Linked DNA regions of Canis lupus familiaris. The protein of the gene in region 6 purifies or fractionates together with the protein of the main gene of each other region. This does not show direct contact. Links are inferred from orthologs where the notes say so. Each region holds a gene or a part of one and is shown on either strand. Other genes may lie near its edges. The genes, in order: CAPZB, FHL2, CNOT6L, CNOT10, CNOT6, TNKS1BP1 and CNOT11.

Region 1 (3,500 bases), on a different chromosome or scaffold from region 6:
AAATGTAGGACTTTAATTAAAATGCCAGCTCTCTTTGTCTAGGGCTTTCCCACTACCTCGCGATTCATATTTGGGGAATGTCTGGTTGGAACTACAAAGTGAAGCGGGTCCTTGTGTCCATCAGAGTTCAGTTCTTGACGGCAAACTCTTGATAAAGATCCTTACTGCACACCAATTTATTAACTTCAAAACAAAGCCAGTAGGTGTTCTGGAGGCTCCATGTGGTAAAATTCCTCCCTCCCATCCAAATACACCCGGCCCTCACTATCACCAAGCACGGCTGCCATAGGTGCTGGGAGTACAGGCCTGAACAAGGTGAAGTCCCCACCCTGGCAAAGTCTGCATTCTAAGGAGGGGAGACAGACAACAAATAAATCAGTAGACGTGTTAGCAAGAAATTACTGAAATACTTGTAATTCGTGGATTAACCTTTTGATCAGTGGTGCAGCTGAGCCTATTTTATACTGAATCCCGTTATCTTGTAAGCTTTCCTATGTGGGGGGCCGGTGGGGAAGGGGAGACAGCTTGGCTCCAGGCAGAACTGGGGATCAGAACCGGATGCTCAAAGGTCTGTTTTTATGCAGTGCCTGAAGCAGTGTGGTGAATTCAGGTGGGACCCAGTTTGACGTTGCCCTCAAAGAAGCACGTACAGCAGACAATGCTGAGTACAGAGGAGGGAGGGTGGCATGTGGGTGTTCGATGCTAGCGTGTGTGCCCTCCCCCTCGTTGGGCACTGGACTGAATGCCCAATGCAGGTCTTTTGTGATACCCCAAATCACGGTGAATAGGTTTTGCTATCCCCACATTACAGATAAGGAAATCAGGTCTTCATAGAGAAGTGAAAATGACTTGCCCAGGGTCCTAAGGGTGGTAAGTGGTAGAGTCAGGAAGTCACACTTCAGAGCCTGTTTGCTTAGCCTCTGCCACAGTCCAGGATGAATCGGGCCCCAACCATTTCAAATGGGGTTTGAAGCAGAAGTCAGGGCCCAACAGGGAAGCTAAGGCAACACTCAACAGAACAAACGGTGGTGCAAAGGGCTTGTGGTGACCAGCTGCCACATAGGTGCTCAGGACCATCCGCAGGAAAGCAAGCGATTTTCCAATCCCAGCTGCCTTGGATGGAAGCTGTTCCTTGCCTTGGCCAGGACTTCTTTCCAGGCTCTGTGGCCGTTGGTTGTTGAGCAGGGAGGTTATTTGCCGCCTTGGATGGGAGGGGGTTACTTGCTGCCACAGTGTGCCTTTGGCATGCACTGTCCCTGCTCTCAGTTGTCTGTTGAATCAGAGTTAGTCAGAGGGGGAGATTTCAGCCTCCCCTGCTTGCTTCCTGTGTAAGCCTTGGGCAGCTTAAGGACTCTGGTCCTCAACTGTCTAGTCTTTACAGACAGATGTCTGTAATGGGCATGAAGCTGCCTGCTTTACAGGAGGAGAGTGAGCTCTCAAGTGCAGTCTGCCAAGTATATGTAAAGGCCTCGCCTAATCCCTGGTACCTGGCAGACACTTGGATGTGCTAGGGGTTTGATGTGTGTGTGTGTGTGTGTGTGTGTGTTTTAAGATTTTATTTATTTATGCATGAGAGACACACACACAGAGAGAGAGAGAGAGGGGGGCAGAGACACAGGCAGAGGGAGAAGCAGGCTCCATGCCGGAAGCCTGACATGGGACTCAATCCCGGGTCTCCAGGATCAGGCCCTGGGCTGAAGTCGGCGCTAAACTGCTGAGCCACCCGGGCTGCCCGGGGTTTGATATTCTCATCACGAAAACTAACCTTGAAAATAGCCTCATTTGGGGCCCTTAGCTGGCTCAGTCGGTAGCACGTGTGACTCTCGATCTAGGGTTGTAAGTTTGAGCCCCATCTTCAGTGTAGAGATTACTTAAAAAATAAAATCACAAAAGACAGAAATAGCTGTGGGGGGGGGGGGGGTGTGGAGGACACGGGTGGCCGTTGCAGATTGCGCCGGAGGTTAGTGGTGTGGACATCTCTCACAGGCTAGAGGACCGGCAGTGGTCCATGTAGAGGAAACCGATGGTTTCACTGAGGCCAGAGTTTATGCGAGACGAGGTGACCATCTTCCAGTTGTGGCAGCCAGGGCCGTGTGAGCTGCTCCGAAGCACCTGGGGGGCTGGCAGAGGGGCCCAAAGAAAGCAGCCCCCGGAGGCTGGGTGGTCTCCGAGGGGGCGGTCCCCATGTCCTCACCTTCCTGGAGGCGGTCGGGGTCTTCCAGCCGGTGGTCTGCCCCCCCGCCGAGCGGCTCTTCTGGGTATCTTTGCCACATGACTTAACTTTTCCATTTGGAAGGGCTGTTGGTGCAGTTGGCAGCCACCATCCTGGTAAACGATATGGTGGGGCCTCCGTAAACCCAGGGCCATGAAACGAATAAGTCAGCACATTGAAAATATAGCGTGGAAGTGACTCAAGCCCGAAGGAATCCGTTTCTGAAAGTGCTGCCATCCCTTCCTGGAATATTTTGGTGGAAATGGATGTTTGAATTAGGAGGAGGCGGCCTGGTTGCTGGTGGGGCCCTGTGTCCGGTTGGGCAGGATTTGCGCTGGGAATCCGCCCCGCCTGGCCAGGCCCCGGGGCCCTCCTCCTCAGTGACGCGGCTCCGTGTGGGTCCGAGATAAGCCCGCTGGAGCTCGGCTCTGCGCGAAGCTAGTGTGAAGCACCTTTGCAGCAGGTAGGGTTGACTCTGCGAGCCAACCTGGTAATGCTTGGCCAGGGGCCTGGAAAGTATTGGAAACTCCACCCCGCACGGGAGCCGGTGGGAGTTCTCGAGCACGGTCGGGTTATTCTCAGAGTTCTTTGGATTCCTATGTATTTCAAATGTTTACCTTCTTCTCAGGACATGAGCTTGTACTTTGCCCACCAGAGACCAATACCAAGCACATACGTACTTAAACGTACCAGACCACCCTGGCGACCAGGTAATTAAAGCTGCACGCAGATTTGGAAGGAAGGCTGTGTTGGAAATCACGCTCCGCTGTAATTCAAGAACAGGTTTCTTTATGGAGGGACACAGTTGGTGTCAGACACATGTGGAAAAGAAAAGAACAGGCCCATGATTCTGGCAGAGTACCAAGGGCCAGATGTTAAATGTGCTGACCATGATGTGGCTCCGGTTGCCATTAGCCAACCTGGATTCGACGTGTTGTTTTAACCCCTGGCTCTGCCTTTTCCTTCCTTCGCGCCAGGTCCCCAGTCTGTGTGAAGATCTCCTGTCTTCTGTTGACCAGCCCCTGAAAATCGCCAGAGACAAGGTGGTGGGAAAGGATTACCTTTTGTGTGACTACAACAGAGATGGGGACTCGTACAGGTGAGCTGCCAGGCCGGGGCCAGGCGCAGTCCCTGTCGCCTGGGACCACTGAAGTCCGGCCGTCCTTCTGTCTGTCTGTCCTCCCTATCTCCCTCCCCACTTCCCTTCCTCCCATCCTTCCTTCCGTCCAGTCCAGCAGTAGACGTTTGTGGAGTGCCTCCAGTAGAAGCGTTGGAGACTCGGCATGGA
Region 2 (3,974 bases), on a different chromosome or scaffold from region 6:
ACTATTCAGTGGGTTGCATTAGTAGTGTAGAAATTAGCATATTGCTCATTAGCTCCTGCAGGGAGCCTGCTTCTCCCTCTGCCTGTGTCTCTGCCTCTCTGTCTCTCATGAATAAATAAATAAAATCTTAAAAAACCCAACTAGTTATATCCTGATAAAATTGCTTATCTAAAGCTTAATTTATGTTTTTTTTTTAAGTTTCCATCATTCTAATTCCCCATCATTATAAGTATTTGAATATTCTGGCTAAATGAAAGAAATCACAATGTCATATAAAGATAACTAATTTCAAAGAAATAAAGTTTGAATGCTTGGTGAAAGGACATTGATCATAAATTTAACAAAAAGCAGATTACCAAATGACCTGATGATATATTTTTTTCTTAATTAGAAGTTATAGTTCTCCATATAATTTATTGTTTTCAGATGCATCCTAAAATACATCAATGTGGAGTGGTATATAGTGAGAATTTCCCCCCCCCACCTTTTTTTTTTTTTATTTTATTTATTCATGAGAGACACAGAGAGAGAGGCAGGGATACAGGCAGAGGTAGAAGCAGGCTCCATGCAAGGAGCCCAATGTGGGACTTGGGATTCTGGGATCACACCATGAGCCAAAGGCAGACGCTCAACCACTGAGCCACCCAGGCGTTCTTTCCTTCCCTCTCTTGTAAAGCTAGTGTTAAATTAGTGGCTCATCTCAAAATCAAAGACTTCTTAGAATCAAGAAATAGGATAAACAATAAATGTAGTAAGACCACACATAATTTTTCATTTTCTTCTCTCTGCTGGTCTGTATTTTCTGGCATATATTTGTACAGTAAGATACAATGAAAGAAAATATAAACACTATGAATATAATTTCACCTCTTTCTTTGGTGGTGTTAAAAACAGGACAACAGGCCCCAAATGGAGTCACTTATATTAAGCTCCACGTCACCAAACACACCTAACCTAAGTACAATTTTGGCCTCTTCCAGTAATGGAATTTTAAAGCAGTCAGAACTCACCTGATGAGCATTAGTTAGGTCATCTGCCTGATAGAGCCCTGTCATCCTCTAAAGGAAAGTAATGTTGGAATAAACAGTCCACTTTTTTTGTCCCATGTACCTTCCTAGTTCCTGTTCCCTTCTGTCTGTAAAGGTCTTCAGTTTTGTACACACTGCACAGCCCTTTTCTGTCTGCTGGGTGGGATACTGCCCAATTGATGAATCATTGAGTAAAACCAATAAGATCTTTATAATTTATTTGGTTGAAAAAAATTTTTTTTGACGGTGGGGAGAGGACAATTTAAACTCAGTTTCTTGGCCATCTATTTTAAATCTGAAGTATTTTAGACACCAGTAGACTATGTAGGTCCCTGTGTTAAGAGCTATCAGATTACAGAGAGAAATATGACGTGGCCTAGCCTCAGGATCTGGAACCAATGGAGAACTCCAGAAGCACTAAGTGGGATGAAGAAATCTAATAGTGCAAAATGCATTCAAAAACAGGCAAGATTGAGTGAGCAGTCAGGGAATATTTTAGGGGAAACTATGCAACTCTTCATGAAGGTTATACATTGAAGCATTTTCTTAATATCAGAAAAGGCCTCGAAAATGTAATTGTGTGAGTTGAGTAGCTGGCTACTGCTTTAAAGACAAAAACTCTCCTAAGATTGGATGGATCTCAAAATGTAATAGGTTTGATTACAGCACATCATGTTATAAACCTAGCAATAAAACAAAATTCAAATAGCATTCCTCAAGAAACAAATAAATAAAATAAAACCAGAACAAACCTATATAGAGCAAGTCCATGATAAAATAACATCAGCCAATAACGCAAGTGTTAATACTATCTTTTGACCTCAGAATTATTTTTAAAAAATGGCCTGGTAATATCTCTTTTTATTGGATTAGACCTGATAAGGTGCCTTGCATGGAGTATGACTAGAGGATGTTAACATGTATGACACCTATTATCAGAATATGCCATCTTATCAGTGTTAACATTATTACACAATTGGCCCAAGCATTACTCAATACTGTGCATTTGCTCACATCCTGCTCTAGAAATTAGTAAATTAGTAAAATGTGAATGCATTTCCTTTAAGCACACAACAGCTATCTGTACTTTGGAACCGTCAGCCGTAACAAGTCATCTTGTATAAACATACTTTCCCAGCCTAATCAGACTCCTCAGTAATTTGCCTCCTCACCCCAGGCCATCCGGAAATTCTGTCAAGGAGAAAAAGCTCCAGGGCACTGTGGTTTCCCCCCTCCCAATGTTTATTTTATACTTTTTTTTTTTTTCTTTTTTCTTTTACAAAAAGCTTCCTGGTGTTCAAAACTCCGTGTAGTTCCTGTTTCCCCGTCTGAGAGGGTAAGATGAACGGAGGGTTCCCTCCGTGTTCTTTCTACTCCCGGAGGCACCTGCCGTGGGTTTGGAGCAGCGGCCAGGGCCAGGTTCTGTTCCTTCCCCACAGCCCCGCAGCCCCGGGCAGGAGCTGGCTGCAGGCGGGGGCCCGCTGCCAGGCCACTGGGGCTGGGTTTGGGGTCTGCAGGTGCACAGTGCCAGAGAGCTCCCTCCCGGGGCAGGAGGCCGCACAGCTGGCAGCGAAGCCTGGGAGGACACAGGGCACAGGGAAGGAAGGGGCCCCGGGGAGGAGGAAGCTTACCTGTCCTGTCGTCTGCCCTCGGCGAGCCCAGGGGCCAGTGGGGAGGCAGGGCCCACGCTCGTGGGCTGCTCCTGCAACTGTGTGTGCAGCTGCTGGCCAGCTGCCGCCTCGTGTCAGCAGGGCTATAAATAAGGTGCTGTCCAGAGCCCAGAGATAAGAACCCAGCCCCTCGCTCCCGCGAGCCTTTTAAGGTATCCAAATTAAAGGAGCCTCGGCCCCCAGATGGGAAGGGGTGCCAGCTCCCCATTTGGCCTGCCCACCTCAAGGACACCCTGGGCCTTGCACACAGTCCAGCAACCCAAGGAGGAGTGAGAGGGGAAAGCCGAGCGCTGGGAGGGATCTCGCTTGGTCAGACAAGTGGTGGAGTCCCTGGGGGGCTGCAGGGGCTCGGATGCTGGGAGACCCCCCCACCCCGAGATCAGGGCCGGCGCTGTGGTACAGAAGGGGGAGGAAAGTCATCCAGGCCACACAGTGCCCTGGGGTGTGCTGTGGGTTGTCAGCGCTGCCTCTTGCTAGGAGCACACGGACCCTCTTCCCTGGCTTCAGGGGTATTGGTTTGGGTGAAAAAGATTCTAGGGGAGATTCTAAGGGATCGGCTTCATGCTGGGCACGTGGGAGGCCGGGAATGCAGTCTCCTTATAAAGGCCCTCTCTCCCCATTCCCACCCCCCACTCATGCATGATTGGGGGGATTCTTGGGCCACAAATCATTTTCTTTATAGAGCTAATGCAGAAATCTTATGGAGCTTTTTTATTTTTATTTTTTAAGATTTTATTTATTTATTCATGAGAGACACAGAAAGAGAGGCAGAGACACAAGCAGAGGGAGAAGCAGGCTCCCTGCAGGGAGCCCAATGTGGGACTCAGTCTGGGATCCCAGGATCATGCCCTGAGCCAAAGGCACCCAACCACTGAGCCACCCAGGGCTTTTAAAAAAACCATATGCTAGAAGAGGTCAGAGAGGACTAATCTGGGGTAGCAATAATTCCTGATTCACCCCTAAATTTCTTAATTCTGGGAGGCTTTTCAGCCATGGCTGGGGTCAGGTGAAGGACAACTGAGGTCAGCTGTTTGGCAGCAGCTGTCTGCCATATGACAGACATTCCACATCTGGGAATTTATCCTAAGGAAAGGATCGTGGATGTCAGCAGAGATACAGCTCCAGGGACATTTCTTGCAGGTTTTTTAATAATTGGGGAAAGTTGGAAACAACCAAAATGACTAACAACCGAGACTGGTAAAATGAGGAATAGTATAGCCATGAAGGAAACACTGCAACCTTTGGAAATGTCATAGAAGAATATTTAATAACATAG
Region 3 (4,246 bases), on a different chromosome or scaffold from region 6:
GTCTTTTTTTTTTAAGCTTACCATTGCTGATATAAATAAAAATAAGGCCTAATTTGGAAACCTGGCTTTAGTAAATGGACATACTACAAACTTAACCCAATGAAACTCCTCACATTCTCTTCATCCTGCCTTCACCAAAATAATTTTTAAAAAGATAGAAAAGAAAAAAAAATCCTTCTTTAACCTTTCCATTGCCTTTACCTTAAACTCTGTATCATCATTTTTTTTTCTCCACCACAATTAAAAATAAATGAACAGCACATTCACTACTCCACAGAGAGTAATAAAAATGGAAAACTATTCAAAGTTGATTGAGGATTTTTCCCTAAACCATCCAAGAATGTATTCCAAGAAGTTTTTGTTTACCAAATCAGTCAACATGAACTCAAAGAATTACATAGCAATTTTTTGGCACTTATGCTTTATGAATCTGTTAAAGTAATCTAAACTCTCGTTTCTTGATCCATTTTAATGCTTGATTGTATTGGAATGTATATGTGCTATATACAGTACAATTTTTTCCAGGACTACATAGCCAGAATCATAAAAGTAGTAAAACTGAGAGATGGCCTATTCAAAAATACAGAGGAAAAAAAGTATGACTAGACAGTCTCTATAAACTAATATACTAGGCCACTTTAATGACAGTCTTATTTCTAGGAAAGACATAAAAAACATTAAAAGTTTATATATACCTTATATATTATCAAAGGACTCTGAAATGTTCTACTGCCTTGATTTTTAACCTACAATTACACAATATTGCTCTCAGTTATCAAATGGGTATTTGTCCTTACACATGTTTTTCAATGCCCACAATCAGGGCTGCGGGAGGAATATTTAACTAAGCCTCTACTATGTGCCAAACATGTTTTTTCATTCCACCCTCAGGACAACCTTACTATAAAGGTATCTCCTCGTTACAAATGGAAAAAAAAAAAAAAAAAAAAAACAGAGACTTACAGACATTCGGTAACTTGCTAAGGTCAAACAGCTAAGAAAAATGGCACAGCCAGAGTTCTGAGGTAAAACAAGTCCTTTTTCCACTCAACTACACATGTTGTTTTTCCAGCAGTGGTCCCAGAAAACAGCTCTCCACTCCTATTCTTCCCTCCACTCTTGTTCCCAGTGCACGGCCTGGAACATTTGTGAGACCAGTTTTAGAAACAGGGCTACCCGGCCATCATACAGAGCATGGTCTGCAAGGATCAAATCTGTATCAGGACTTCATCCACAGGGTCTCAGCTAGATGAGCTTACGAAATGCAAACGGAAGGAGGGCGGAGTAAAGCAAATAAATCATTCAAATACCATTTATATTTGGGTCTACAACGCACTGCACACCTATTGGCAGATTTATCTTCATAGTTCCGCTTTGCTTAGACCACTCTCAAAAATAGCTTCCCCGGAGCACACACACACCCTGGGTAGACAACATAAAGGCTCCTTGACCTAGGTTTTGGAGATTGTGCATGAGACGTGTTTGTTTGTACGTGACTATCCTGATCGGCAATATAGATAAGTAGAAGCAGTAAGGCAGTAAAATGTAATACTGTGCTTCCAACGTGTACAAACGGCTCAGCTAAACTCCCTGAACACAATCCATCTCAACAGCCTAAGATAACTAGGCCGAGTTAGGGACGATGACAGCTACAGTAACTTCCTCTTCCTCACCAACCTCCTCAGTTCCGCGTGTGCACGCCTTTCCCCTAGGAGGCAGGATAAAACGATTTCAAACGCACAAAATCGATCCAATGCCACCAACACCGCAGGACAGGAAAGCCAGCTTCCATTTCTTCCCTCGCGTCTCGGGGGGGGAAAAAAAAAAAAATTTATCTTAAAAATCGCACTCATGTCCCCCACGAGAAAATATGTGCGACGAAAACTGAAAACGTGTACACAGTCCGTCCACCGGGCCTTCGCGGAGGGACGGGGCGAAGGGATCTCCATCCGCAGCCAGTGTTCCCGAGATTCACCGCTCTGAGTCTCTTTCCCTCGGGTCCCGCCGCCCGGAGGGGCAGAGCCTGCAGCTCCAGAGCCAAAATAAGCCTTCGCCTCTCTCCTCAGCAGACGCGGAGGCGGCCGAGGCGACGGCGGTGCGCGCGTCCCGCCTCCGACCCTCCTCACCTGCCCAGGCCCGAGGCAGCGCCCCGGGTGCTCGCGGGCCGGGGCGTCCGGGAGGCGTCCGGGAGGCGTCCGGGAGGCGTCCGGGAGGCGGGCGGGCGGGCGCCGAGGCGGTTAGGCCGCGCTGCAGGCCGGCGCGCTTCCTGCCGGGCCCGGGAGCAGCGGCGCGGCCCCGACCCGCAGCTCAGCCGGCCTGGGCTGCCGCGCGCGGGCGGCGCACACACTCGCGTCCCCGGTCCGGCCCGGCCCGGTCGGGGCCCGCCGCGGCCGAGCAGCTTCACCCGCGCGGCGCCCACAGAGGGGGGAGGGGAACGGGGGGGCGGGGGAGGGGCGCCCCTCGGGGGTCCCGGACACACGGAACCCGCCCCGCACCCCGGGGCCGCCAGCGCCGGCCCCACACACGCCCACTGGCCCCGGGTCCCCGGGCCGCCTCCCCGCCCGCCACAGCCTCACCTCGCACAGCCTCACGCACGCTCGTCGCTCTCCCACCTCACCTCCCGGGGACGCTTCCGTGTCCCCCACATCGACCCTCCTCCGAGGCGCAGACACTCTACCTCATTCTCTTCCTCCGGCCCAGGCGGAGCAACAGCAGCCATTTCCCCGCGGCAGGGGAGACACGGCGGCGCGCGCGCCCGGCCCCACAGATGCTTCCCTCCGGGCCGCGGCCGCAGACGCAAACACAAACACCCACGGGCGGGCCTCGCTCCCGCCCGCCCCGCCGCGCCGCGCCGCGCAGCGCCGCCGCCGCCACCGGCAGGGCCCGCGCCCCCCCTCACCTGCATTCAGCGCGCCGGGGTCCGGGCGGCGGCGGCGGCGGCGGCGGCGGGGCGGCTGCTGCTGGTGCTGGGGCTGCGGCGGCGGGGGAGGCGGCGGCGGCGGTGGCGGCGGGGCTGAGGGCAGCAAAGACATGCAGGCAGCCCGCCGGGGGGAGAGGCACCGGCCGGAGGGGACGCGGGGCGGGCGGGCCGGGCCGGGCCGCCTGAGGGACGGCAGGGGCGGCGGCGGAGAGGGCGGCCGACGGGAGCGGGCAGGCGGGCGGGGGGCGGGGGGCGGGACGGTGACCCCGGGCGCCCAGGAGAGGCCCCGCGGCCGCGGCCCCCGACGCGACGGCCCAGCGCCGCAGCGAGCTCCCTCCCACGCCGCGGCTGCTACTCCGAGGGCGGCGCGGAGCCCGGCCTTGGCCTTGGCCTCCGGGCGCCGGGGCTGCTGCCGCCGCGGGGCTTGCTGCTGCGCCTGCCGCTGCCGGGCCCGAGGCTGCCGCCGCCGCCGCTCGGGGACGCCAGGCTCCGGTGCCTTCGGTGCCTTCGCTCCCGCTCCCACGTTCACAACCCCGAGGGCCGGGGAGAGGCGTCCGCGCGAGGTCGGAATTGGGATTAATAACAAGGTGCGGAGAGTGCGAGGAGGAGGAGGAGGAGGAGGAGGAGGAGGAGGAGGAGGAGGAGGGTTGATTGACGTGGAGGGGCTGGCGGCGCTCAGACACTCCCCTGCGCGAGCGCGAGCGGGAGCGCGAGCGGGAGGGGGAGGGGAGAGGAGGGAGGGAGGGAGGGAGGGGAGGGGAGGGGCGGGGCGGGGAGGGGGCGGAGCTCCAGCGCCGCGCCTCGGCCCCGCCCCCCGGTCCCCGGTCCCCGGTCCCGCCGCGGGCCGTGGCGCGCCTGCGCGCGTGGCTGCCAGGGCGCTCACCCGTCTTCTCCTTTGCCCTTATCGCTTTTTTACTCTCTTTTCTTGGCTCGAGCGGCCGGCGGAGCTGGGGGGACTGGCGGGGCGTCACACGTCCACGTCCACAGAGCCATGCTGCGGAGGAGGCCGGCGAACCCTCCTCACCCGGTGTTCCTGCCGGACGCGGCGCCGTTTGCCGCTCGCAGGCCTGAGGCGGCCTGAGCGGGAAGCGCTGCTCGGGAGCTAACGAGACGTCAGGTGAGGGGAGGTGAGGTGAGGGGAGGGGAGGTGAGGTGAGGTGAAGTGACGGAAGGAGAAGGTTTCCTGACATCTCCGATGGGGCGTTTTTGTTGGTTGGTTGGTTGGTTGGTTGGTTGGTTGGTTGGTTCAACGCAAAACACCTGGAAGTTGTGTCGCGAAAGGTAAACTGAGGAACCTCTGACGCTCCGCCATCATCCCCGTCCTAC
Region 4 (3,500 bases), on a different chromosome or scaffold from region 6:
GGCAGTCATTCTTTATCATCTGCGGCAGTACACAGAAGCGATAGCAGTTGGTGAAAAGCTTTACCAGTTCATAGAACCTTTTGGTATGTTCTGTCAAAATTTTTCCGTTGAAAATTTCCCTATTTTCAGGGGACCTGGGTGGCTCAGTCAGTTAAGTCTGACTGAGCCTGACTCTTGATCTCAGCCCAGGTCTTGATCTCAGAGTTGTGAGATCAAGCCTAAGTTGGGTGGGCATGGAACCTGCTTGGGATTCTATCTCTTCCTCTGCCCCTCTCCCACTATAAAAAAAGAATTCTGTATCTTCTCATACTTGCAATGGCCTCTGGTACTTTTACCTAATTAACCTAAATCAGGGAATTACTTGTTACTATTTATGAAAAAAGAAAAAAGCTATGTCAGATTTTCTTAATAGAAAAGATAAAAATGACATTACTTTTAGATGAACCTAGGTTTTCTTTCAGCATTTCCTCCTCACTCTATTTTTAAAAACAACTGTTAGAAATGATGTCTCTTGGGATGCCTGGGTGGCTCAGCAGTTGAGTGACTGCCTTTGGCTCAGGGCATGATCCCAGAGTCCCAGGATCGAGTCTCACATCGGGCTCTCTGCATGGAGCCTGCTTCTTCCTCTGCCTATGACTCTGCCTCTCTCTCTATCTCTTGTAAATAAATAAATAAAATCTTTAAAAAAATGATGTTTCTGATTGGAAAGATTTAGTGATTTTTGTTTGCTCTTTTTACACTACCTAGTGTACCCAATCTTGTTACTTGGGCAATATATTAAGAAGTATTCGGAGATATTAAGGGACAATTTTTTTTTTTTTTTTGTCCATTGCCTCACTGACATTTTTGTGGGTAATTATAGAATTATAGAATAGATAGTACAGACTATCTTAGCATTTTTTTATATCTTAATTAGCTTGCAGTTACTAGCCTTGAGTAAGTATAATAAGAAAGGTGAAGGCAAAGGAACAAAGAGGGAGCAAATAAAGTAGCAAAGCCTGACTCAGGAAATGGTTGTTAGGGCTGTTTGTTTTCAACTCACAATCAGTCAGATTTCAGTTGTGATTCACATTTTTGTCTTTTTCTTACATTACTTTCTTTTGCATTTAAAACACTAATGCCAGTTCCTGATTTATAAATACCTGATTGCTGATCAGTCCCCACAGGAGAAGAGGTAGAGTGTGATGGCACCTCTGTGGGGCTTTAGAAGAGTTACAGGATCGCCTTTGCTGTCAACTGGTTGAACAGCTGCTTACTATGGATCTAGGGAGGCATTTTTAAGATACTCCTCTTCTGTACTGTGGGTGTGGTGGCTGGGCAGATTGGGCAGGAGAAATACCAGTGGTGAAGATGGTATAAATTGTGACCTTTCTCTATGAAGCTAGAAATCAGAATTCTACTTCTAGGATGACACAGATGTGTTTTTCTATATAGCTGGGGGTTTTGTTGGTTTTTTTGTTTTTAAAGTAATCTCTACGCCTAAGAGGGGCTTGAATTTATGACCCTGAGATCAAAGTCACATACTCTACCAACTGAGCCAGCTGGGTCCCCCTACAAAGCTGGTCTTTAGGATTTCTGAAACAATTCATCAAATCCTATTAATCTATATTGTGGCTGAGTATAGAATATAGCAACCAACTAGGGATCCCTGGGTGGCGCAGCGGTTTAGCGCCTGCCTTTGGCCCAGGGCGCGATCCTGGAGACCCAGGATCGAATCCCACATCAGGCTCCCGGTGCATGGAGCCTGCTTCTCCCTCTGCCTGTGTCTCTGCCTCTCTCTCTCTCTGTGACTATCATAAAAAAAAAATAAAAAATTAAAAAAAAAAAAAGAATATAGCAACCAACTAGATAGAATTCAATTTTTTTATTTTTATTTTTTTTTTTTATGATAGTCACAGAGAGAGAGAGAGAGAGAGGCAGAGACATAGGCAGAGGGAGAAGCAGGCTCCATGCACCGGGAGCCCGACATGGGAGCTAAACCACTGAGCCACCCAGGGATCCCCTAGAATTCAAATCCATTTTTCTTAGGGGGCGCCTGAGTGGCTCAGTGAGTTAAGCCTTTGGCACAGGTCATGATCCCAGGGCCCTGGGATAGAGCACCGTACCAAACCAGGCTCCTGTTCAGTGGGGAGTCTGCCTCTCTCCATCTACCTCTTCCCCGGCTTATGCTCTCCCTCTCTCTCTGTCTCTCAAATAAATAAGTAAAATCTTAAAAAACATAAACAAAACTTAGTCTTTGCTCTTTAGAACTTTTTGGGGAGGAGTGGTCTGGTATGTTTGCTTCACTTTGGATTATAACTTTTCTTTTCCTGTTTCTTTCCCCCCAGAAGAAAAATTTGCCCAGGCGGTGTGTTTTTTGCTTGTAGACCTTTATATATTAACCTATCAAGCTGAGAAAGCTTTGCATCTTCTTGCTGTCCTAGAAAAAATGATATCACAGGGTAACAATAACAAAAATGGAAAAAATGAGGTAAGTGTTCTGAGGTGATCAGATTAAAGTTTATGGTTAATATTTGGGGTTATTAAATATTTTAACAGCTTTATTGAAATATAATTCACTATACAAAATGGTCAATATTGTTAATAATACCATAGGATTACATACTTGAAAGTGGCTAAGAGACATTGCGAAGGATAACTAGGAATCCAGCATATGATGTTGGTAGTGTTTATACCAGAGAAAGTTTTTAAGAAGGGACTGACATGGGGCGCCTGGGTGGCTCAGTTAAGTGTCTATCTTCAGCTCAGGTCATTATCCCAGGGTCCTGGGTTGAGCCTCGCCTGTGTCAGGCTCCCTGCTCAGTGGAGAATCTGCTTCTTCCTCTCCCTCTGACCCTAGCCCACTCTTTTCTCTCTCTCTCTCTCTCTCTCTCTCTCTCTCTCTCAAATACATAAATACAAATCTTTAAAAAAGAAAAACGTGGACTTCAAAAGGTTAAAAAAGACAAAAAAGGGAACATGATCCGTTCTGGGTTTCAGAAAGATAATCTTGAGTTTTGCCTGAGTACGATCCATGCTTTTTAAACCTGGCGTATCATTATATTCAATGGGAGCTTCTCAAAAGTAGTTTCCTCCAAACAAAACAAAACAAAGTAAGTTTCCTGTTACCCATTCCAGACTATTATACCTGAATCTCTGAGAGTGAGACCTGGGATTCTGTAGTTCGAAAATGCTTTCTAGATGATTCAGATTAGCTTCCTTGGAAATTACTGATTTAAATTATGGTAAAAAATATATATATTTAATGGTAAAAATATATATATATTTAATTTTGGTTAACTTTGTTTTACCACTACAGACTGGTAATAACACCAACAAAGACGGATTTAATCATAAAGCTGAAAGTGGAGCCCTAATAGAAGCTGCAAAATCAAAGATACATCAGGTAGCATACACTCTAAGAGAGATTTTATTATCATGTATATTTACTAATAGTTATGAATGATAAAGAATGTGATAAATCGTTGGAAGAAGTAAATAATTTGAGGCATGTATGTTTG
Region 5 (3,500 bases), on a different chromosome or scaffold from region 6:
AAAGTAGAATAACTATTTGCAGAGCCCATCTAGCTGGTAGCATTCTCTTCCATTGTTGGTAATATGTATAACACCACATTTAATCATAATCTTGGTATTTCATACCAAGTAAATAATTCAACATAGGTAGAAACCTAGATACTAAGATGTTGATTATGGAGTTAATTCTTTTTAAAAAGTAAAACCACAGGAATTTTTTAAAAAATAAGGAACTACTATAACAACTATGAAACACCACAGCAAAGTATAAAATATTCAGTATACTAGGATCAAAACCGTGTAAAAATAGATTTAGATAAGTTCTGGGAAATGTGGGAAAAAAAAAAAAAAAAACAGACCAAAAAACAAGACATTTTAGAAAGGGGGACTGTGTGGCACAAAGTATTTACTATTATATTTTTTTAGTTTTGTACACTGCATATTATACTTGACAGTTTTCAAAATACCTGTGTTTTCATTATAGGTGTTGTAGAATATTTGAGCACTGGTGGAGTAGAAACAAATCATAAAGACTTTAAAGAACTGAGATACAATGAAAGTCTTACAAATTTCAGCTGTAATGGGAAAAACGGGACAACCAATGGAAGGATCACTCATGGTTTCAAGTTAAAGAGTGCCTATGAGAGTGGCCTGATGCCTTACACAAATTACACGTTCGATTTCAAGGTGACTTGAGATTGAGAAACTTTTCAAACCTCCATTTTTTGGAGAGTCTTGTAACTTTATTATGTCTTTGAAATGTTGATGTGTGTTCAGACTAGAAGTAAACCATGTTGAATTAGTTGACAGCAGTATTCTCTTATTATTCTTCTGTGGAATTCTGTGTGATTGGTGTCCCATTCCTACTTGGTAGGTACCTATTAGAGTCAGGGTAAGAAATCAGATGAAATAATGATAATAAATCCTGAGTTTAACTGTCACTGTTTGGGGACAATTATGTTATAATAATGTTCATTACTTAACAGCTATTCAGAAAGTACCATAGTATCTAATTTGGTGTCCATTGGAGTGACATATTTCATCTCTCATATTTTAACTGAAACTACTCTTTGAGTGCCAAAATGTGGTTTATATTAGCCATTTAATAATATAATTTATATTTATTTATATGCCTTCACACACAGTTAATTAAGCTTACAATGTAGAGCCTTGCCTTAGTGCTTCTCCTCATTTTTAATATCATTGGTTGCTTAGGACTTGCATTCATCTGTTCTTTTTAACCATTTTTTGCATTTCTGCTCTTAAATCTTAGTTTTCCATTTCTAAACTCCTGGGAAAATCATCATTCAGGTTAGATTGTGTGTTAGAGTGTTAAATACTACTGTTAACTGGTTCTTAATTTTGCTGTTAAGGGCTTTTAGACTTCTTTGAGAAACTGTGGAAGAACTTGAAACTTTTTTTATTGGACTTTGGAGGAGCCATAGTACTGTAGATAATTTAACCCTTAGATAATTTAACAGATAAGTGCGTGGAGGTGAAGAGAGGCTGGAGCAGACTCTGGGGAAAATGAACAATAAATGACAGAAGAGTAACCAGAGGGAGGAGGAGATCCAGGACAGTGTAGGAGCCTAACTGCCAAGACAAGAAGGCCTTTTCTAGGGAAAAAGAAGCATTATGTAAGCTTCAAAGAGCTGTTGGTGAGGGAGGCTTCACTGGAGGGGTAGGCAAGAAGACTAGAATGTGGCGAAGTGAAGGATATTACTGGGCAATGAGGTAGTAAAAACCAACTTTGAGATTCTTATTTGAAGCAGAGTGATTGAAAAAGAGGGGAGGAGTGATGATGACCAAATGGTGGGAGACATTAGGGATTTTGTTTTCTTTCTGTTCCTGTTGCTGATAACAGAAATAAAAGGAAGATACTCGAATGTGCTTAAATATTTTTAGCTGAAAGCATGTCTAGGAGAGGCTGAAGTTTTACAAGGAGGAGAGGGGCAAACTGAGAGGTGGTCAGCTGGGTGCCCAATGCTGGGCCTGGGTGCTGCTGGGAACAGACAGGGCAAGATGTCCCGGCCCTTGTGGAGCTCACAGTCTGGTGGGAGAGACCCGTCTCCACAGTACAAGTGAATGTGTAGTTATACCTTGGGGAGTGCATGAGCAAGAAAAGAGACTTAGAGGTGCTGGCAAGTAGTGAGTGCATGAGGGCAAGATTCAGGAAGGACTTTTGAAAGTGTTTGAACTCCACATGAAGGCTGAGAAGAAATTAGCCAAATGACACATAGAAGAAAGTGTTCCAGACAGAGGGCACAGCGTGTGTGGATGCCTTGGGGCAGGATGGAGCTTGATACCTACAAGGAATGTCCTTCTCCCCACCCTAAAAAAATGGCTAGCATGCTAATAGGGTAGTAAGCATGGGAAAATAGTACAAATCAAGTTAGGAAAGAAGCCAGGGGGTTTCTGGGTGGCTCAGTTTAATGTCTGCCTTTGGCTCAGGTCATGAATCCCAGGGTCCTGGGATGGAGGGAGTTCCCTGCTCAACGGGGAGACTGCTTCTCCCTTTCCTCTTCTCACTCGTTCTCTTTCTCTCTCTCTCTCTCCGTCACTGCCTCTCTCTTTCAAATAAATAAAATCTTTTAAAAGAGAGAGATGCCGAGGCCATACCATGAAGGACTTGTAGGTCTCATTAAAGATTGTGAAAAGGCGGGGATCCCTGGGTGGCGCAGCGGTTTAGCGCCTGCCTTTGGCCCAGGGCGCGATCCTGGAGATCCGGGATCGAGTCCCACATCAGGCTCCCGGTGCATGGAGCCTGCTTCTCCCTCTGCCTATGTCTCTGCCTCTTTCTCTCTCTGTGTGACTATCATAAATTAAAAAAAAAAAAAAAAGATTGTGAAAAGGTGCAGAAAAGAGGAAGAATGAATGATAATCATCCCTAAACTGTCTTCATTCTGCTGGATTTGACACCTGGGGGACCGTTTGGTTTGTGTAGTACCTCTTCCCATGTGCTAATCACTTTCTCTGTTTACCCAAGATGACTGCAGGGTATGTCTTGAGAGCTCTCGTGTTTCAGTATTATCTTATATAAACCCTCATCTTTTTTTCCTTCTGTTTTTCAGGGTATAATTGACTACATCTTCTATTCTAAACCTCAGCTGAACACTTTAGGCATCCTAGGACCTCTGGACCACCATTGGCTAGTTGAGAATAATATCAGCGGCTGCCCACACCCACTCATCCCCTCCGACCACTTCTCACTTTTTGCACAACTGGAGCTCTTACTGCCTTTCCTGCCCCAAGTTAATGGCATTCACCTTCCTGGCAGGAGGTAGTCAAGTACCTTCAGAGGACGACCTCAATTTCACTTTTAAACTCAAAATCTGAATATAGGGGAGTGAGGTATGGCCACCAGGGTTGTCATTTTTTTTTCTTTTTTTTCCTTTTCCTTGATGATTTGAATTTTCAATCTTGATTATTTGATAAGGATATAGTATGAAAGCCAGGTGCTAGCAACAGACAAATTCTGAGCCCAATATGCTTTATATACTGTTAGACAGGGATTGGTGTGT
Region 6 (3,500 bases):
AGAGGAGCCACTTCAGCTCTGGCTTCCTGTCCCTTGCCCATCCTGGCTCCCCCAGCTGAGCCTCGTGGTGAGGAGGGTCCCACCTGGGGCCCTTGAGCCTAATAAATACCAGAAGGGCAGGCTGACCCCACTTGGGCCAGCCACGGGGTTGGGGGCCCGTGGGGACCATCCTTGAGCCCAGGGAGGAAGGGTTGGGGCACGGGGTTGGGGGCCCGTGGGGACCATCCTTGAGCCCAGAGAGGAAGCCAGGATGCAGCCCTCCTCCCCATCATCCCAGGCCGGACAACACTGGATTCTGTGGGCAAAATCTAAGGGGAACCAAGGGACCCACCAGGTCCTAGAGCTAGGCTCCCCTGGGCTGCTGCCAGGCTCACAGAGAAGAGGGACAGAAAGGCCTAGAAGAAGGCAGGGGGCCTCCTGAACCCTCCCGTGCAGGTCTTGCCAAGCCCAGGAACCCACACTTACCTCGAGGACTTCTCAGACCTTCTTCTTCTTCAGCTTCAGGGCTTGTAGCCAGTTGGGTGATGATCCTTCTGACCTAGATGGCACAGGGCAAAGGTCATTAGGCAAACCTTAGGACATAAACACGGTTAATTCTGGCCCACCCAGCGAGGCCAGTTGAGGTCACCTACCCTGAGGATTTCTCTGGCTTGGGAGGTAACGCAAGGGGCTTCCCCAGCCCGGGGACCTTGCAAGACTTGGAACGCTGCACCGCGGACTCCTTCTGGCTTGGCTTGTTCTCCGCAGACTCCCCCTCCTCAGCTGAGCGGTTCCGGGGGCGCAGCTTGGCCTGTGAGATGAGCCCAAGTGCAGACAGATGTCAGAGGAAGGAGCAGGGTGATTCAGAGGGCAAGGCCTTCTCTTAGGAGCCGTCCCCAGAATTAGGCACAGACCCCTTTGCAGTCCTTCAACCCAGAGGGACGGGAAGTCGCCTGAGCCACACCCTGCACGGAAGGTCCTCGTGAAGGTTCTGCTCCACTGAATCCAGACAATTGGGCTGGATGAAGCGAAGCCGGCAGTGCCTCCCGAGCCCTGTGCCTCCGTTCATCGGGTTCCCTCTGCCTCGGGAACCTCGAACTCCTCCCCATCACCCTGCCCTCCACAGCCAGCTCTACACACGCCTCAAGCTAAGATCCGGCACTTCCACGAGCCCTTCCCCATACACCCTCCCATCCAGCAGGCAGGTCGGTGGGTCAGAAGAAGTCACACCTCACCCCGACCCTCCGCCCCCACCCCCAGAAGAGGCCCAGCCCTTATCTGTACATCCCCAACCCCACACCTGCAGCTCGGCCCTTCACCAGAGCTAACAGGAGACAGGGCGTGTGTCCTCCTCGCCTTGTGAGGTTCTGGGACTCTGGGACGGGAAGGAATGCCTTGTTCTTCCTCCCATCCCACTCGGGACCCAACAGGGCCCTCAGGGGGAGCAGAAGACAGGAGAATGGGAGGGAGGGAAGGACGGATGGATGGACGGACAGAAGAAACCCCAGGCAGGCACTCGGGGGCTAGGGGCCGGAGGGGCTGGATGCGCTGGCCGATTAAGACACTACCTTCAGGGCTGACGGGCTCAGGCCAGGAAACAGGTTGACTTTCAGCCCCTTGGTGCCCAGGGACATCCGTGTCCGGCGGTTCTGAGGCTCCTCCACCACCTCCTCGTCTGAGGATGGCACCCGAGAAGCCCGTGGCTCTGCAAGGGCCCAGAGCGGGGGTTCAGCGCGACGGCGAGCCCGGAGCACCGCCCCCACGCAGACCCAGACGTCACCCCACCAGACAGGGGCCTACCCGTAGAGTCCTGGAACAGGCGTGCGTCCGAGTCGGCTGCCTCCGAGAGGCCCAGGGTGCCCCCGGGCCGAATGGCCGGGGCCCGGTGCCCACGCTTGCGCCCCAGGTTGGCTCGGCTCCGGTACATGGCGCTGTCGAGGATCTCGGTGTCCTGGTCGGGACAACAGCAACACCACTGCCATTGCGGTCCCACGGGAACCCTCAACAGCGCATCCCTCCAGCAGCCTACAGCGCCCCGTTCAGAGGGTCACCCACTGCCCGCCTCCTGCCCCCCCTCCCCGGGGGCTGACGCCACTCAGGGAAGCCCTAGGGACCAGCCTCGGGCCACATCGCCCATGTGCCCCCCGACAGCCCAACCACTGCCCTGGGCTCACCCTGCACTGACCTCAATGAAGGAGAAGTCCTGACTGGGAGAGCGGGGCGGAGGGCCCTGAGGGGGCCGCCGAGGGGGCCGTGTGGGGCCCTGGGCGCCCTGCCCGACCCCTGAAGGGCTCCAGGTGCCGTCCACCTCTTCCGTCTGGCTGGCCTCACCATCAGGCTGCGGCCTCCAGGAAAGCAGAGGGGCCCCGCTAGGCTCGAGGGGCTCCCCTGTGTCGGCACCCACTGTGGCTCCGTCCTCCTCCAACAGGCCCCTGGGGCCCGAGGCTGCTGACCCCTTGCGGGCTGCCGCCCTGGAGTTGCTGGTGGCCAGCATGTCCTCCAGCAGGCTCTGGGAGCCAGAGGGCGGGGAGCGGGCCGGGCAGCCGGCAGGACTGCAAAGGAGACAGACCAGAGGACAAGGTCACCCATGAGGCCCCATCTTCCTCCCCCAAAGCCCACTTCCCAGTATTGTGCCCCCCTCCAACAGGCTCTCCCTCTCCTGCCTCTCCATGCTTTCCCAGACACCTTCCTTCCGAAAGGACACGGTCGGGGCCTCAAACAGTACAGCACAGAGCGGGCAAGGTGGGCAGCCTGGTTCAAATCCCAGGTCCGCCACTTACTGAGGCTGTGGACAGGTCCCTCCACCCATCAAGGCCTCAGGACCCTCTAACTCCCAAGAGTTGCTGGGGACTGAAATGGGAACCACAGCACAAAGCACAGTGCCTGGCACCCAGCGTGTCCCCAGCACTGACCACAATCATTACTGCTGTCCATGTGCTCCTCATAGGGGCAGCTGCTTGGGTGGTCACTCTCCCTGGGACGAGCCAGGCACTGGCCCCTGCAGCATCCCTCCCTGCACCCCAGCCTCACAGAACGTCCAGGGACTCCCCCAAACACATCACCGTCTTTGCAGACTGCGGTGTATGTGCACAAGCTGTTCCCTGGCCTGGAAGGCTCCCCCACTGCCCTGCGCTCCTCTCCCGGTCACGGGTCCATTCCTCTTCTGAGGCTGGCCCCTCTCCACCCCCAGCCACAGCCCCCCTTCCTGAGCCCTGCGAGCCTGGGGCCCCCACCTGCACCAGCCCCTGCCTCAGAGCCCATCTGGGAACCACTCAAGGGCAAAGGCGGCCCCTTTGGCCTTTGTGACCCTGGTACCTGGGCTCGGCCCAGCCAGGAGGAGGATTTAGCAAATGTTCGCCATCCACTGACAGGCTAGATCACCTTGCACCTCAATACGGCCTGTGCATCTTCGGCCCGCCGCTCCCTCAAAACACGACAGACACACCCGGCTCAGCACACACGCTTACTCACATACCTCACACAAGGAGCTGGTGTGTGGGCCAGCTGCCACCCCCTGAAAT
Region 7 (2,762 bases), on a different chromosome or scaffold from region 6:
GTGAAGTATACTTTCAAAAAGCAGGTAACCAGTTTTGCCAGTGACAGAAAGTAAGGTTGAAAAGACCACTCTCCTGTACACATACTTGTGATCACCCAGCTTCCAGCCAGGCGAAGCCAGGCTTTTTCTCACTGGCTGGTAAGCTTAAATGGACATGGTCTTTAGCAAAATTTCAAGAAGGTTTAAAAAAAAAATCCCTGCCTTAAAGTCTGTTGCAAGTTTTTCCCTTCTGGCCAGTTAGCGTCTATATTATACCCCACATACACACACACACACACACACACACACACACACACACACACACACACACATCTGATTGAGTATAAACACTTACCGATTTACAACTTCCATTGAATGCAAGGACATGTCCATGTTGACCAGGACTGAAAAATACTCCGTGATCTGGCTTGACTGCATTAACTTCAGTAGCATTTCTATAGCAACTAGGGGGTTGTTTTCCACTAGGTCAGGAAGTTTGGCTGGAGTCAGGCCAATATGATAAACGAGTTTGGGGTCTTTTTCCAACTCACCCAGGAGCTAAATACAATCAAATTTTTAAAAAAAGAGGTTTTTGAGTCAAAAAAAATTGTCTGCATTGAACCAACTTCATAAATTTCTTCCTTCAAACCCATTATTATAATCATGTCTTGAACTGCAAAGACTATTTACAAATATGCTAATGATCTCTCCTCCTGGGCATTAAGCCAAACTTGGTATTGTCTGGTTGGATATAATGTCTGGATTATATAACAATATCATCCTTAACTCCTTTGTAGACCTTTTCTGTCCTCGGCTAGAACCAAAAAATAATTTAGTTGCCAACCAGCTCTCCAGAAAAGCACACACCACAGAGAACTGAGGAATAGGAGAAACAAGAGTACAGCCCCAGGTGGAGAACAAATGCTTGAGGAGAGAAGCAGGAAGGGAAGAGGGAGAGCTGCCCTGTTGCAGTCCCTCACTTTGCAGGATGATGCAGTTCAGGTCCTACTCAACTATGTAATTCAAATAGTTCTCTTCAAAAACATAAGTGCTTTTTCTTCAAAATTCTCCACACTTCCTCCCTACTGGCAAATACCACAGTGAACTGTTTCAGGAATGGCCTAGCAAACAAAGTGAACTACAAACACTGTAATCACAGGATCAAAAGTGAGATCTATCCTACCCCTCCTCTCCTAGAGTCAAAATCGTTCAAATAAGAGTTGATACATGTTGAATTATCAGTCTTTCCCCACCAGAGTAAAATGACTAGAACTGGAGAAGCAGAACAAAGATTCAGAGATCCAAGACTCCTTGGATGTAAAACCCTTCCTACTGCTGACTTCTGTTGACAGGGTCATTTAATTGGCCACTTAATGTGGAGGACTAAAGATAAGAAATGCTTATAAATAAATACCTGTGTTTGTTGAGGAGACGATAAGGGGCTTTTGAAGGCTTTGGCCATTATTCGCTTGATCTCCACACCAGTGCTATTCTTGACACACATTGATTTGTCCCATTGAATCGTATGGTCAGGCTCTGTTGGATTCAGCCAAGCCAGCTCATCCTCACAAATGTGGAGTGGAGGTGGTGGACGAATAAACTCTGGGCGGAAATGGCCTTTAATGAGAACAGGAATATTTGTTTCATTTAGTAAGCTAACATCTATACACATCTTTATAAAGGTAACATGATAAAACGCTCAAGACTTCAAAATCCAAGGCAGAGATGATTTAGAAATTCAGGGTTTTATTCAGAATACCAACAAAACGAAATATCAATAGAACATCATTATGCTAGACAGCAAATCTATTTTTCAAGAGAGAAAGGCACTACCATGATCTGGCAATTTTTAATTAAAGCATGATCACCACTCAGAAGCAAAGGATACAACTTCACATACTGGTAAAAGTTCTTATGGGAAAAATGAAATGCTATTTGATTCTGTTCATCCTACTCTTGGTTACCATTATTTTTATTCAGAGACCACTATTATTTGTAACTTTTTTCTTTGCATTTCATGAAATGGCAGGAAACAGAAAAGTATAGCTGCCTTTTGACATTTTCAAATGAATCCAGAGACTTTCATAAATCCCCTAATTCAAAAATCCTGTACTCCTGTTCATAAAACTATACAAGAAAATGCAGTGACTCAATACTTCAACTATTTTCTGAAACAGCATTGATTCCTAAGTTTAAAAACCCACTAAAATAAATACTGGCTGGGATTTTTATACCTCATTTTGGTTTCCACACAGGGCCCTAAGGTGGCCTATTCCAATCATGGATCCTAGCCCATGCCAAATTTGAGACTAGTTTATTGAGGTTTTCTAGCTAAGAATCATCAGTTTATCTTGAAATATCCTCTCTCTCATTTTTATCACCAGGACTAGCATCTCAATCTCTTTTCAGAGTATTTATAAAAAGATAAAAATTTTGACATTTTATGAGAAGTACTACTACTGTGATAAAGGAAACATTTCCGTGAAGTACAGATGCCTCATGTTAGCTAGATTCAGTATCTAATTGATTGGGGTTTTCACATACCTTTCTGGTGGCTCATGCAACAAAAGTTGTGCTTAAACAAATGTTAAATAAAAATCAGCATGTGCCATGGGCTTTCAGGCATACCTGTGACTGGATGAGACCTCAGTTATTAAGCCCATTTATGCCAAAGATGTGTTAATGGCATTAAAGTCATGTAAGTTTAAAATTCATGGTAACACTGTAATTTGGAGAACATTTTCCTTATTCTTAAGCATAAAGCATGCCTTCATCATTAAAAC

Evidence for each region.
Region 1: the proteins of TNKS1BP1 (region 6) and CAPZB purify together in Homo sapiens (co-immunoprecipitation; 5 studies listed by BioGRID and IntAct, with this or other methods). This does not show direct contact. The link is inferred for Canis lupus familiaris from reciprocal best matches to the Homo sapiens genes TNKS1BP1 and CAPZB.
Region 2: the proteins of TNKS1BP1 (region 6) and FHL2 purify together in Homo sapiens (affinity purification with mass spectrometry; 3 studies listed by BioGRID and IntAct, with this or other methods). This does not show direct contact. The link is inferred for Canis lupus familiaris from reciprocal best matches to the Homo sapiens genes TNKS1BP1 and FHL2.
Region 3: the proteins of TNKS1BP1 (region 6) and CNOT6L purify together in Homo sapiens (affinity purification with mass spectrometry; 4 studies listed by BioGRID and IntAct, with this or other methods). This does not show direct contact. The link is inferred for Canis lupus familiaris from reciprocal best matches to the Homo sapiens genes TNKS1BP1 and CNOT6L.
Region 4: the proteins of TNKS1BP1 (region 6) and CNOT10 purify together in Homo sapiens (affinity purification with mass spectrometry; 4 studies listed by BioGRID and IntAct, with this or other methods). This does not show direct contact. The link is inferred for Canis lupus familiaris from reciprocal best matches to the Homo sapiens genes TNKS1BP1 and CNOT10.
Region 5: the proteins of TNKS1BP1 (region 6) and CNOT6 purify together in Homo sapiens (affinity purification with mass spectrometry; 3 studies listed by BioGRID and IntAct, with this or other methods). This does not show direct contact. The link is inferred for Canis lupus familiaris from reciprocal best matches to the Homo sapiens genes TNKS1BP1 and CNOT6.
Region 7: the proteins of TNKS1BP1 (region 6) and CNOT11 purify together in Homo sapiens (affinity purification with mass spectrometry; 5 studies listed by BioGRID and IntAct, counting the BioPlex papers as one, with this or other methods). This does not show direct contact. The link is inferred for Canis lupus familiaris from reciprocal best matches to the Homo sapiens genes TNKS1BP1 and CNOT11.

The regions. Positions count from the first base shown.
Region 1 is NC_049223.1:78,732,647-78,736,146, forward strand, and holds part of CAPZB (F-actin-capping protein subunit beta), read left to right. Parts: exon of another isoform or gene 1-16; intron 17-3,189; coding exon 3,190-3,311; intron 3,312-3,500. UniProt on the Homo sapiens protein: F-actin-capping proteins bind in a Ca(2+)-independent manner to the fast growing ends of actin filaments (barbed end) thereby blocking the exchange of subunits at these ends.
Region 2 is NC_049231.1:39,049,603-39,053,576, reverse strand, and holds the start of FHL2 (four and a half LIM domains protein 2), read right to left. Parts: upstream 2,801-3,974; 5' UTR 2,660-2,800; intron 2,365-2,659; exon of another isoform or gene 1,270-2,364; intron 1-1,269. UniProt on the Homo sapiens protein: May function as a molecular transmitter linking various signaling pathways to transcriptional regulation. Negatively regulates the transcriptional repressor E4F1 and may function in cell growth.
Region 3 is NC_049253.1:37,892,126-37,896,371, reverse strand, and holds the start of CNOT6L (CCR4-NOT transcription complex subunit 6-like), read right to left. Parts: upstream 2,801-4,246; 5' UTR 2,683-2,800; coding exon 2,678-2,682; intron 2,637-2,677; exon of another isoform or gene 2,618-2,636; intron 2,605-2,617; exon of another isoform or gene 2,577-2,604; intron 1,700-2,576; exon of another isoform or gene 1,678-1,699; intron 1-1,677. UniProt on the Homo sapiens protein: Has 3'-5' poly(A) exoribonuclease activity for synthetic poly(A) RNA substrate.
Region 4 is NC_049244.1:4,229,022-4,232,521, reverse strand, and holds part of CNOT10 (CCR4-NOT transcription complex subunit 10), read left to right. Parts: coding exon 1-83; intron 84-2,327; coding exon 2,328-2,470; intron 2,471-3,298; coding exon 3,299-3,385; intron 3,386-3,500. UniProt on the Homo sapiens protein: Component of the CCR4-NOT complex which is one of the major cellular mRNA deadenylases and is linked to various cellular processes including bulk mRNA degradation, miRNA-mediated repression, translational repression during translational initiation and general transcription regulation.
Region 5 is NC_049232.1:1,473,355-1,476,854, reverse strand, and holds part of CNOT6 (CCR4-NOT transcription complex subunit 6), read left to right. Parts: intron 1-463; coding exon 464-666; intron 667-3,050; coding exon 3,051-3,263; 3' UTR 3,264-3,500. UniProt on the Homo sapiens protein: Poly(A) nuclease with 3'-5' RNase activity.
Region 6 is NC_049239.1:39,301,867-39,305,366, reverse strand, and holds part of TNKS1BP1 (182 kDa tankyrase-1-binding protein), read right to left. Parts: intron 2,532-3,500; coding exon 2,165-2,531; intron 1,931-2,164; coding exon 1,780-1,930; intron 1,685-1,779; coding exon 1,548-1,684; intron 791-1,547; coding exon 633-790; intron 539-632; coding exon 478-538; 3' UTR 466-477; intron 1-465.
Region 7 is NC_049231.1:42,709,913-42,712,674, forward strand, and holds part of CNOT11 (CCR4-NOT transcription complex subunit 11), read right to left. Parts: intron 1,597-2,762; coding exon 1,394-1,596; intron 538-1,393; coding exon 335-537; intron 1-334. UniProt on the Homo sapiens protein: Component of the CCR4-NOT complex which is one of the major cellular mRNA deadenylases and is linked to various cellular processes including bulk mRNA degradation, miRNA-mediated repression, translational repression during translational initiation and general transcription regulation.